2 linked regions of the Drosophila melanogaster genome follow. The protein of the gene in region 2 interacts with the protein of the main gene of each other region in a pairwise test. Each region holds a gene or a part of one and is shown on either strand. Other genes may lie near its edges. The genes, in order: Cyp6v1 and Mpc1.

Region 1 (6,792 bases), on a different chromosome or scaffold from region 2:
ATATTGGGACTTGTTTAAAGTGCCAGTCAACTAAACGATGTTACGTGCAACTTATTGAGCACTTTTGCGGTCCACTCTAATCCACTAGAACTCTAGACGCCCAGAAACCTGAACTTTGCTTCCGAAGCTCTCCAGTGTGCGATGGCAGTGACGTAGGCGGCCAGCCCATCGAATCTGAGACCGAAATACGAAACTGAATCCGAATCAGAATAGAAGCGATCAGGCCACCGGGCAAAGGCCTCCGAGACCCGGCTGACTGATAAGTTATCAGCAATACGAAACGAAACGAAACGGAACGCAATGGACCCTCCCCCGTCGACCCCCTGCCAATAAATATAAATTCGAGTTCGCTGAGGTGGCATGTGGAGAAAATCGGGACCATAAAAAATAAAAGCAAGATCGGGGGCACTGCTCCCTCTCAATGGAGTCCGATGATCCTCCACTATTCCCCCACAACACCTTTGGAATAATGGCGAACGAGATGAGAGCGATATTAACCCATGAAATGAGGTTAATATGATGCATATGGAGCATTTTTAAATTCGAGTGGGAGGAGAAAATACTTTTGAGAATAATTTGCAAATTTTTTTCTACTGCTAATATCTCTAAAGAGAATTCATAGTACTGCACACACCTTATAATAATAAATAGCTCTATGTACTTCTAAAATTCGCAAATAGATCATAAAACAAGCCAGCTGTATTAATGATTAGAAAAAAAAGATCGTAGCAAAGTTTATTTGAGGCATGCCGAAATATTTACAAAAACAATGACGATGGGGCTCTGCTCCCGCCCTTCAGGAACCCATAGCGTAATGCTGCTGATATTGGATGGGATCGGCGGCTATAAGCAGTCGACCTTGAGGTATATGCGTTGCTCACTGGCTAGCAGCGCGAACTTGGCGTCGAATTGAATCCGCTCCACGGTGCGGTCGCAAATCTCGACGCGATGTTGGTGCAAGAAGTAAACGAGGCCCAGCTTTATCTGCAGCAGTCCGATTTGCATCCCGATGCAATTGCGCGGCCCCGCCCCAAAGGGCATGTAGGACATGGGCGCCTGCAGCGCCTTGTTCGCCGCACTAAAGCGCTCCGGGTCGAATCGGTCCGGGTCCGGCCAGTACTGCAAAGGAAATAGCCCAATGAATAACGCTCTTCTAGACAGAAATATTACTTTAACTACTCTTTATGATTAAACATAAATCATTCCCCCAATTTGTTCATGTTAAATATCCGATACAAGTTAAAAGCTTCTTTGGTATAAGGATATGTTTCATGCATATTATGCATAGAAATAGGAACTCGTTAGGAACTAATACAGATACTTGTCTGTTCGATATCAGAATGCCCGAAACTTTCCTAGCTCGATCGCTCTATGAATCAAACTACTGATTGAGCTGAACAACACTTGCAGTTTTGCAGTTATGGGAATGTGTTAAATGCAACTGCGCACTCACCTTAGGATCGTGATGTATGGCCAGATTGGATATGAACACGGGCATCCCACGGCGGGTGTAGCACTCGGCGTGTGGCCTCAGCGAGTAGAAGCGCTTCTTGTTAATCGGCGTGCACTCGCGCTCCAAGAGTGGCACAATTGGATACTTGCGCAGAGTCTCCTCCACGACCATGTCGAGAAACTCCATGCGGGCGACGGCCTCGTAGGTGAGCCTCCCATTGGGATTGCTGGCGAAAGCCTCACGTATTTCGCGGCGCAGGCGCGACTGCATCAGGGGTTGTTTGGCCAACTCGTAGAGGGCGAAGGACATGCTCGCCGAGCAGGTCTCAATGCCGGCCACCTCAAAGGATGCCGCCTGAGCGGCCAAGAAGTCCCGATGGTGCGTGAAGTGCGACTTGTCCTGCTGCAGATCCGCCTCCTTCTTGAGCGTCAGCAGCATCTCGATGAGATCGTTGCGCAGATCACCGCCACGCTCCCGCTCCTCGATCACCAGCTGGATGACTCGGCGCAGGAATTCCGCATGCGGCTCCGTGAAAAGTTTGGGCCGCAGCAGCGGCACCAGTTTTGGCAGGTAAAAGATCACAAACAAGTCGATTATTCGACGCACATTCGGCCGAAACAGGTCCTGACAATGTGAGCCGATCTCCGATTGCGTGTTCCTCAGGCTGTACGATCTCAGTCCGAATGCGATGCTGGCTATCATGTCGGTGTTGTACAGATCACACACGTCCTTGATGCTCACAATCGCCCCTCGCTCCGCGTCGCCGCGTCTAAGATCTCGAGTCAGACGCTTCAGATACCACTCCAAGTCGCAGCCGATCTACGGAGATATAGAACATCCCACAAGGAGCACAGAGCAAACGGATTGTTAATCAATAAATAGGTATCCAAATGTTGCTGCTAGAGCTAATCAGTGTTTCATTAAGTGTTTGTTTCATTAGTGCCTCGATGTGATTCTTGATATTTGCATAACAGATATACAACAGAAAAACCTTAGAGACTTGTCAACCGTTTGGACATGAGTTTCAGCTTTGTCATGGGAATTTGCATTATCACAATGATTAGTAAATTCGATTTGTTTTACTGAAACGCACACAGTTTGTGATTTCTTAGCATTAATTTGCATAGAACTTTTGGTTCGACTAGGCAACAAACTAAGCAGAGGAGAGCTAAAGTCTTGAGCTATAAACGTTATGGTTTTTTTTTCGTAGTAATGCCGTAGTTGGTGGTGACCTTTGATAAGATACAACAAGTCAGTAACAATAAACAGGTTCGATTTGATAAGCCCCAGATAGCAACATGGCCCGTTAGAGAGGTTCTTTTATCATTAATAATCAATAATATAAGATATGCCATTTCGTAACTCATTGATCAAAATTGGAAACATTACAATCAGAAGAGGAAATTTAATGGAACCTAAAAAATTGAATTTAATAATTTTACCCAGTAGCTTGGTGTAAGTGCCGCACCTCGAAATATTAAAATATAGCTATGATCCAAAACGATATGCCGGCGAAACACTTCGATTGTAAGGGAATGGAATTCGATTTGAATAACAGGCAGTTCCTATCTTTAAATGGAATCGGTGTAATTACAAGTCAAACCAGAGTAAAATAGTATTGTTGGTTATTTTTTTCTTCAATCGGGCCCCGCGATTAAGCGTGGAAATGTGTGTTGTGTTGGTCGGTGTAAGAGTTCCGAACGTGTGTCGTGGACCTGGGAGCGGGAGTTTGCAACTTGGACCCGGCTGGTTGAGTGACTCACCTCCTCCATCAGCGAGAACATCTGTTTCAGCTTGGCGCCAGCGAAGGCTGGTGCTAAACGGGTGCGGATCTCGCGCCATTCGGGTTGTTTGGCCAAAAATAGCGATAAGGCGCCCATTTTATCGCTGCGCCCGTCGCACTTGGCGAATCGGTTGGAGAAGCTGACGAAATCCTCAACCAGAACGGTGCGGACCAGCTGGAGATCGCGGATAAGCAGGGCTGGCTGGTGGAACAGATAGATACCCACGACGGGCTCGTTGCGAAACCGCTCGTCGAAGTAGAAGCGGCGCAACTGGAGAGCAAAGGACTCCTCCAGTCGGAGCACCCGGCTCAGGTTGCCCAGCAGGTGGGTCGGCTGGACGAACTTCACCCGCCGGCGCTGCCAGTAGACGTAGGTGCGCCGGGACCAGATGAACACGCCCGTCAGGATCGTCACTATCGCCAGCAGGATGTTCGTGGAGTACACCATCTCGCACTCGGGATCCGCAGTCAGGTCCAGCGGTGGCTGAATCGTGGAGGGATATGCGGATAGTGCCTTGGATTGACCGATCTAAGATTTCAGATTATTCCAGCAGTTGTGACCTCTTCGCTTTTGTTTTGATCGTCTGTTTGTTGTAAGACACAATGACTCCGGATATGGTATTTTTTATACGACCGTAGTTAACTTGCTATGTTTTTTAAGCTAAAGTTATTAGTTGTTCTCTGATTTCATATATATATAAAGTACTAAAGAGCTTTTAAATGTATTTATTCAGTGAAAATTCAATAGTATTTTTTTTTTTTTTTTGTAATGATGCTTCTTTGATTTCTTCGTATTTCTGATGTGTTTTTTAGTTGCACAGAGATCTTTAATTTATCCAATTCATTTCTAACTCCTGTTGGAAATCTATTTGAACTTCGCTGATTTCATTTCTCTTAAGAGCGTTCTATTTTCCCAGCAATATTTCTTCTTCGAAGATCGTCCGATAGTCTTTCTTCAAGTTTTGTTTTCAATTTATTTAGTCGGGGCTTTCGAACAATGTGGTTGACAAATTTTATTTTATCTGCGCGGTTTAATAATATTCTGCATTTTCCGTTGTTTTATGGTTGTTTCTGTTTCTGCTTTTGCTTTAGCTCTACTTTTTTCTTATCGTTTTGGCGCTCCTCCGCGTGGGGCTTTGCCGTTATTTGTTGATTCTCTTTGTCTTTGTTGTTTTTGTAGCTCCTTTGCGTTGCTCTCTTTTCCGCCAATCGTTGTAGTTGTTGTTTTGTTAGCAATCCTCAATGTCCCTTTATCGGGCTTTCTGGCTTTTCTCGGCGTCGCGTGTTTTATAAATAAATACTTAACTAATTATATCACATTTGAAACGACAACTACAAAAAAATATGTAAAAAAAATGACTAAAACAGACCACAATGAAGAATTAAATGCACAACAACGCGACGTCAACAACAAATGGAAGAGGCGAAAGAAGAAATAGCCACGCCGAACGAAAAGAAGAAGAGCACCGCGCAGAAAGACACAGAGAGAGGGATAGAAAGAGAAGTCGCAAGAGAAATGCGAAAAAACCGCGAATACAATTTACAAATAGCGAATTACAGAAAATAAGTCTAAAAATATAAATAAAATCGCTTGCTAGCTCCACCAAGCGACGCTTTTTAACTGACGCTACGTCAACGACCAAAGCCCCACGAAGGCAGCGACGTCGACAGAGCGGCGACGACGCCCCCATCAACGTATGCTGTTCTTTTGTGCTTTATTTTATTAACCGCAAGTTTGCGGGAGACAAAAGAGAGAGGGAGAGATCTTTCGGCGGGATAGTACACAGATACAGAAGAGAGCGCAAAAAGAGAGCTTTGCGAAGAATTTGAACAGTCATGTCATGAGGCACATGTTCTAGTTCGCACAGTGAAACTCATTTTAGCGAGGGGTGGTCAAATGCGGTTTCGTCCAGGTAATCGAATGCACAGCGACCCCACAGCAACTACATACATGACAAAAATCCATATTTTTTAAATTAATTTTAAAAAGTCTTAAAATAATTGAATTTGTATGTGATGCGATCAATGTGATGGTCAAATGTGATTTCGTCCAATTAATAACATCCCACAGCAATGCATCACAAAAAAATTATCTTTGGCTTAGTTCTAATGTTTAGCTGGAATATCTAATAAAACAACTGCAATTGTATGTATATTTCGTTTTATTCATACATTTAATTCCTAATTTATTGAAGTTGTGTTGTGTTTTAGTCATATTCAGAAAAACTACTAGAAATATGTATGTATATTTTTATTCAACGTGTGAGCCAGCGCTTTCGGTTTGTCCCACTGTTGGTGACAGAAAGATGCCAAAGCGCAAAGTAGACCGCAAATAAAAGTGACGATTAAAAGCGAAACTGCAAAACAACAACAATGACGTGACGCGACGGTGACCGCGAATCTTTCGATGAAAACAAAGAGAGCGAAGAGAGCGTAAATTTGTTTTTGTTAGCGGGTGCAGTACAAGACAAAGACAATGGTCACTTCTCGTTGTTAGGGCTTTTCATTCTAGCTTTTATTGTGTTCTTTTCGATTACTTATTTCTTGTCGCCTGTGATGATTTATAAATAAACGTTTTGGCTGTCCTCTGCCATTCGTTGCCTCTGCTTTTCGTTTTTTCTCTGTTACGTGCATTTGTTGTTGCGGTTCAGCTGATTTGATTTTCGCGTATTCTTCTGTTTGCAAGGGAATATCGATAACTAACGAAGGAGGCATCCCTGTGCAAAGTGGGCGCCAAATCAAAAAGCTGGCACAAAATTAAATAAATGTGGAGTATGATAGGTTTTGGTATAACTTATCTACCTGATAACTTAACAACTTTGCCGTGTTATTATTAAGTTAACTAACTAGTACTAACTACAGTTAATAAGTACTTTTATGTGTGCTTGTATCTTTTGTTTTTTATTGCTTAAAATTTATTTTATAACAAACGAAAACATCAACAAATGTTGCTTATCGGAAATTAAAACTTTGAATTTTCGTGAATCCCGAAAACAGTTTGTTGTGAGGCCAGTATTGAACTACTTTCCCCTGATTTTGGGTAAAAAAATTAAACACTACCAAACAAATTGCTGCTCGGAGGAGAAAGGAAACTCCATTTACAACAATTGACAGAAATTTGCACTTGCTGCGGATGGAAAACTTTCACGTCCACTCCTCAGTCCCCTGTTGAGCAGTTTTCCGACTTTTCCCACACGCTCAACTCCTTCTGGAAAAGTGTGCTGAAGTTACAAATGTGCAACATTTCCGGTTGTTTGTATGTCGTCTACTTTTGGGACACCGAAAACTGTTGGCCACATTGATGGCTCACATGGGGGTTAAGGGGACGCCGATTGGTATGGGGGGCGTCGTGGGGTTAAGTCTTGCTTTGATTAAATTTCACGCACGACCGCACAGAAAGGGTTTTCCGCCAACTGACAAAGGGGCGTGGCTCTGGGCGGGCGATTTCGATTTCGAGACTTTCCGGGCCTTACCTTCCGAAAATCACGCGCTGCAGTTCGATTTGCGTTTTTCCAGGGTGGGACGTACGGTGAAACCTCTGCGGATGCAACACCAG
Region 2 (4,372 bases):
AAGCGGAAGCGCGGTCGCCCTGCCAAGGATCATGCCGACGGTCCCGATCCCGTGCTCATGTCAAGCATGAAAAGCGAGGAGGAGAGGAAGGCCTACCAGGACAGACTCAAGAACAACGAAGCGAGCCGCGTATCGCGCCGGAAGACGAAGGTGCGCGAAGAGGAGGAGAAGCGCGCCGAGGACACGCTATTGGCCGAGAATCTGCGACTGCGTGCCCGGGCCGACGAAGTGGCCTCCCGGGAACGGAAGTTCAAGAAGTACCTGATGGAGCGCCAGCGGCAGAAGAGCACTTACGTTAAGCAGGAGCAGGACTGAGATTCTCGTAGCCATAGAATAGAAATTGCGGAGCATAAGCCTGTCATAGTACCTATCGTCGTCATCCAATTGTTTAGTTAGTTAAGTTGTCGTTGAAGAAGTCGAGAAGCAGAAATCAAATTTCCATTTCCATGTGGACATCAGTTAAGCCACTTATTAGGCATAGTGATGGCGCCCATAGTGCGCGAGGAGTGTTTAACTTTAATTTTACTTTTATTATGTTTGAGAAAACTAAAAAATTTTTATACCCACGGATATGTTTTTCGTCCAAAGCGTAATCAAAAAAAAAAAAAGCACAACAAAAAAATGATTACGAGTTCGTATGTTTTAACCCCATTGATGAACAAAAAAAAGTTTAAAAAATGTCAACAAAAAAATATGCTATTGTTAAGAACAATTGAAATGTATATTTTACAGATATCAACTTATATAACCGTAATTGTTTGAATAAAAAGCATGTTTCAATAAACGTGACAAAATCAACTAACTTTGTATATTTGAATGGGTTCTATAACGTTCTTCATTTTAATGATTAAATGTTACAATTTTATTACAACCATTTTGTATTGACAGACACTAGACAAAATTAGATTTTGATATCTTTTATTGGATTTTAAACCATATTCATATAATCGTAATCTAAGCATTGCACCGACTTAAAATTTTGATCAACTGCCTAACGGAATTAACTAAATGGGCAAAGTAACAAGTTGGGTATAGACTCAATTGGAATTGGAATTTGACCCCAGCGAAAACGGCTACTGGGGCACGACAACTTCGCGATTCGAGATTCAGCCGATTGTGCGGGTGTGATTCACGGCAATTACTCCACCACTTGGATTTGATTTGAATGGGATTGCGGCAGTGCAATTTGCTAGATCTTCGTTGCGTGTGGTGGCAGTAAATTGCGATAGCTGCTGCTGTTGGGTAAACATTTGAAGTGGCTTCGCGCGTCGCGTCTCGGGGAAGTGGATTTCGGGGCAAGGATTACATTTACGCCTGCTGCTCCTTAGACCCGTAATTGTAGTGAAGGAAGCGAAGACCCTGGATCGATTGGGCGGTGGCATTGGTAGCGTGGCAGGCGAAGAGCAGCCAATTCCTGGGCTGGACCTTGTAGGCAAATCGCATAAAGATGCACGAGTACAGGGTCAGAGCTGGAAAAGATCGAGGATAAGCATTTCTGGGAGACTTATTTACATAGGCAAAGGCACAGGACAAATTATAAGCAAAATTTGTCATAATTTCCATTACATTATGTGCATATTGCCTCGCTGGCATCTTATTCCGATGGAATCGGATTATGGAGTAAAATGGACAAATTGTGCTTAGTTTTTTCTCTGTGCAATCTTATCGGCAGACGTTTCGACAGTTTCCGTATCTGGCTTATCAGGCATTATAGAGTGATTTGTTTAGAACATATCACAGCGGCTCTGATTACGACATCTTAAGCGAAAACTTTCGATGCCAGTCGCGCGTGTATGGATGCCAGATGGAGGCCAAAACCCAAGGGGGGATATCCTTACCCAATGTCATTTTGCCGGAGATGAATTTGGGACTCTTTTGTGTGTCGGCGAGAGCAGCCACCGGAATACCCCAGTTGGCCACCGGGCCCCAGAAGTGGGTACTGTGGATATAAAAAGCAATATTTACAATAAGTCATATAAGGCCAATTGATAACCAACAAACAGACCTCATAAAGTAATCCCGCCACTCCTTTGAGGCCGTTGTGGACATAGCTCTCCTGATCGACATGATGCTACCGCTTTGCTAATTGAATATATCTGACCAGAAATGTTAATCAGAAGCGCACCTGGTGGAATAATTTAGATTAGATTGCCATTGCCGCGCAATATAAATCCGAAAAAAATCCCCTCAAGGTCTTACAGGTTGTTCGCCGTGTTGTTGTTGTTTTTGTGGTGCCAGCTGTTGTTGCTGTTGTTTGTTTACCGCCTGGAACACCTTGATCGAAAACACGAAGAATTTGGAACTGCAGGCCGCGTTGCAGGTGTGTGAAGTGTGTGCCTAAATATTCACAAGCTAGGATATATTTTTTGTTTATGTGTCGGCCGTGTTGTCACTCCGAAAGTTATATAAAATTAGTCAAACGAAAGGCATCAACGAGTTTTCTCTGCCGCGTCGCTGTCGCGTCGGAGTTATCGATAGCCCGTACAATCGCCACATCCAAGGGTCACACTTAGAGATGGACGTCGAATGAAGCGAATGCGATAGGTTTTAAATCTTTTTTTGAAAAGTGGTTAACATAACCTTCAGCAATATTTTAGTTGGGCAAATTTGTGCCCAGGCACTATGCTAAGACTTTTATTAATAAAATATTTATAACAAAAAAATATTCTAGCATTGTAAACAGTGTAAAACAATACAATGCTTTCAAAGCTCTACGCATAAATATCAAGAAATCTAGTATATTGATATTTATATTACATTATTAATATTAACTTAAATATTTATAAAGTCAATCGAAAATTAAACATTTAATTGCTATTCTAAAACGAGTTTAATCTTGTTGCTTTTTCATTTAAAATCCTGTAAGTTATACCGATATATTACACTATCGTTGAAAGTCATTGAAGCGCTTGATCGGTGTCAGGCATATACTGATCGCTGCAACACTCGACTCGATTTGCAATCTCGATAGGCTTGTCGCAGGGACTTCCCTCCCTATATCCGCCGAAAAGCGGATGCTTGATGTGCATTAAGCCCGCTAATTACAAGTGGACGTAATGTGTGCATTTGCAACGCATTTGCTGAAGTGCGGGCGCCACGGTTTTCAAGTGGTTAATCCACCACGCGCTTCCGCTCTTCACTTAATACGCGCTCTTCCGGCTCTCTTAAAAGGACCAAGGCGAAGAGAATTGGGGCGATGGTTTCTGCGCCGACAGCCTGCGCCTGAGTCCTTGGCCGCGGCGGCAGAAGACCAAAGCAGCACAACCAGCAGCATCCGAGTGCGAAGCAACCAGCATCCAAAACCGAATCCAAAACTCCGGCTCAGTGTGAATTTGCGACTCGAGAGCGACGGCGGCTCAAAGGAAACTTGGCTCGGTAAATAGTCCTTATCGAAGGAATCCTGGCACCAACAACACACCACATCCTCTGGCCAAATAACAACAACAACAACAACAAAGTGAAAAAGCGGAATAGGCAAATGGAAATTGTGTTGGCAGTCGATGCCGCTGCTGACTTCGCTGCCACTGTTCTGCCAACTTGTAATCCCCGTGTGTGTCTGTGTGTGTATGTGTGCGTTTGTGTGCTGTGTGTGTGCGTGCGTGCGAGTGTTTATATGTGGTCAGTGTGCCATTTTGCAAGCATTTTCCATGTGCGGTGCTTGGGAAAGCTAAAGAAAATTCAAATTATGCCCAAAGAAACCAACTCCAAGAATTGCCAAAACAAAGACAGATTTTGCTTCTTTAAATTTTTAAATGTTGACTACGCGTCATCAGTTGCCGCAGCTTCAGTTCAGTAAAACCTGAAAAGAAAAACCATTTGAAGAAAAATCAATCCTACACATAATGGTCACTTTTTTTTGTATTCCCACATTTGTTGCTAGTAAGCATGAAATTTTCGTACATTTTCCCCAGTAAGTCTGCCAAAAATGTTTTTCCACGCGAGAAAAAAGGAAAAGTTTAAGAGAAAACCAAATGAGCCGCTCCCAAAAAATCCGAATTTATCAACAAAAACAAGAGCAGAAGCAAGAAGAAGCGTGAAAATGGGGAAAAGCAAGAAAGAGCAACCACAACAACAGACAAAGAAAAGCGAGAAATATAATTGAAAATCAAAGAAAGGGAAACACAAAGCAACCAGATTTGTGAATTTTTTTAAAGGGATTTTTACCAGTTTTCTAAGTAGCGGAAGTAACTATGTGAAATGGGTGTAAAATAAAGACATACTAAAACTTGTGCTCAACTAACATTAAAGCGATTTATATAAAATAATTAGAATTAGGATTCAATATTAAATCCCAAAAGACCAAGAATGGTAAATGATTTCATTCGTAAAGCAAAAGGTGAAACACGTAAAAGAAAAGATGTATGAAACAAAC

The links.
Region 1: the proteins of Mpc1 (region 2) and Cyp6v1 interact in a two-hybrid assay, tested with the Drosophila melanogaster proteins (one large-scale study listed by BioGRID).

The regions. Positions count from the first base shown.
Region 1 is NC_004354.4:20,655,305-20,662,096, reverse strand, and holds Cyp6v1 (cytochrome P450 6v1), read right to left. Parts: upstream 4,976-6,792; 5' UTR 4,795-4,975; exon of another isoform or gene 4,569-4,794; 5' UTR 3,685-4,568; coding exon 3,217-3,684; intron 2,273-3,216; coding exon 1,454-2,272; intron 1,120-1,453; coding exon 844-1,119; 3' UTR 672-843; downstream 1-671. UniProt on the Drosophila melanogaster protein: May be involved in the metabolism of insect hormones and in the breakdown of synthetic insecticides.
Region 2 is NT_033777.3:18,926,190-18,930,561, forward strand, and holds Mpc1 (mitochondrial pyruvate carrier), read right to left. Parts: upstream 2,471-4,372; 5' UTR 2,200-2,470; intron 2,126-2,199; 5' UTR 2,068-2,125; coding exon 2,006-2,067; intron 1,940-2,005; coding exon 1,839-1,939; intron 1,470-1,838; coding exon 1,309-1,469; 3' UTR 807-1,308; downstream 1-806. Other genes in the region: Xrp1, read left to right, coding at 1-315. UniProt on the Drosophila melanogaster protein: Mediates the uptake of pyruvate into mitochondria.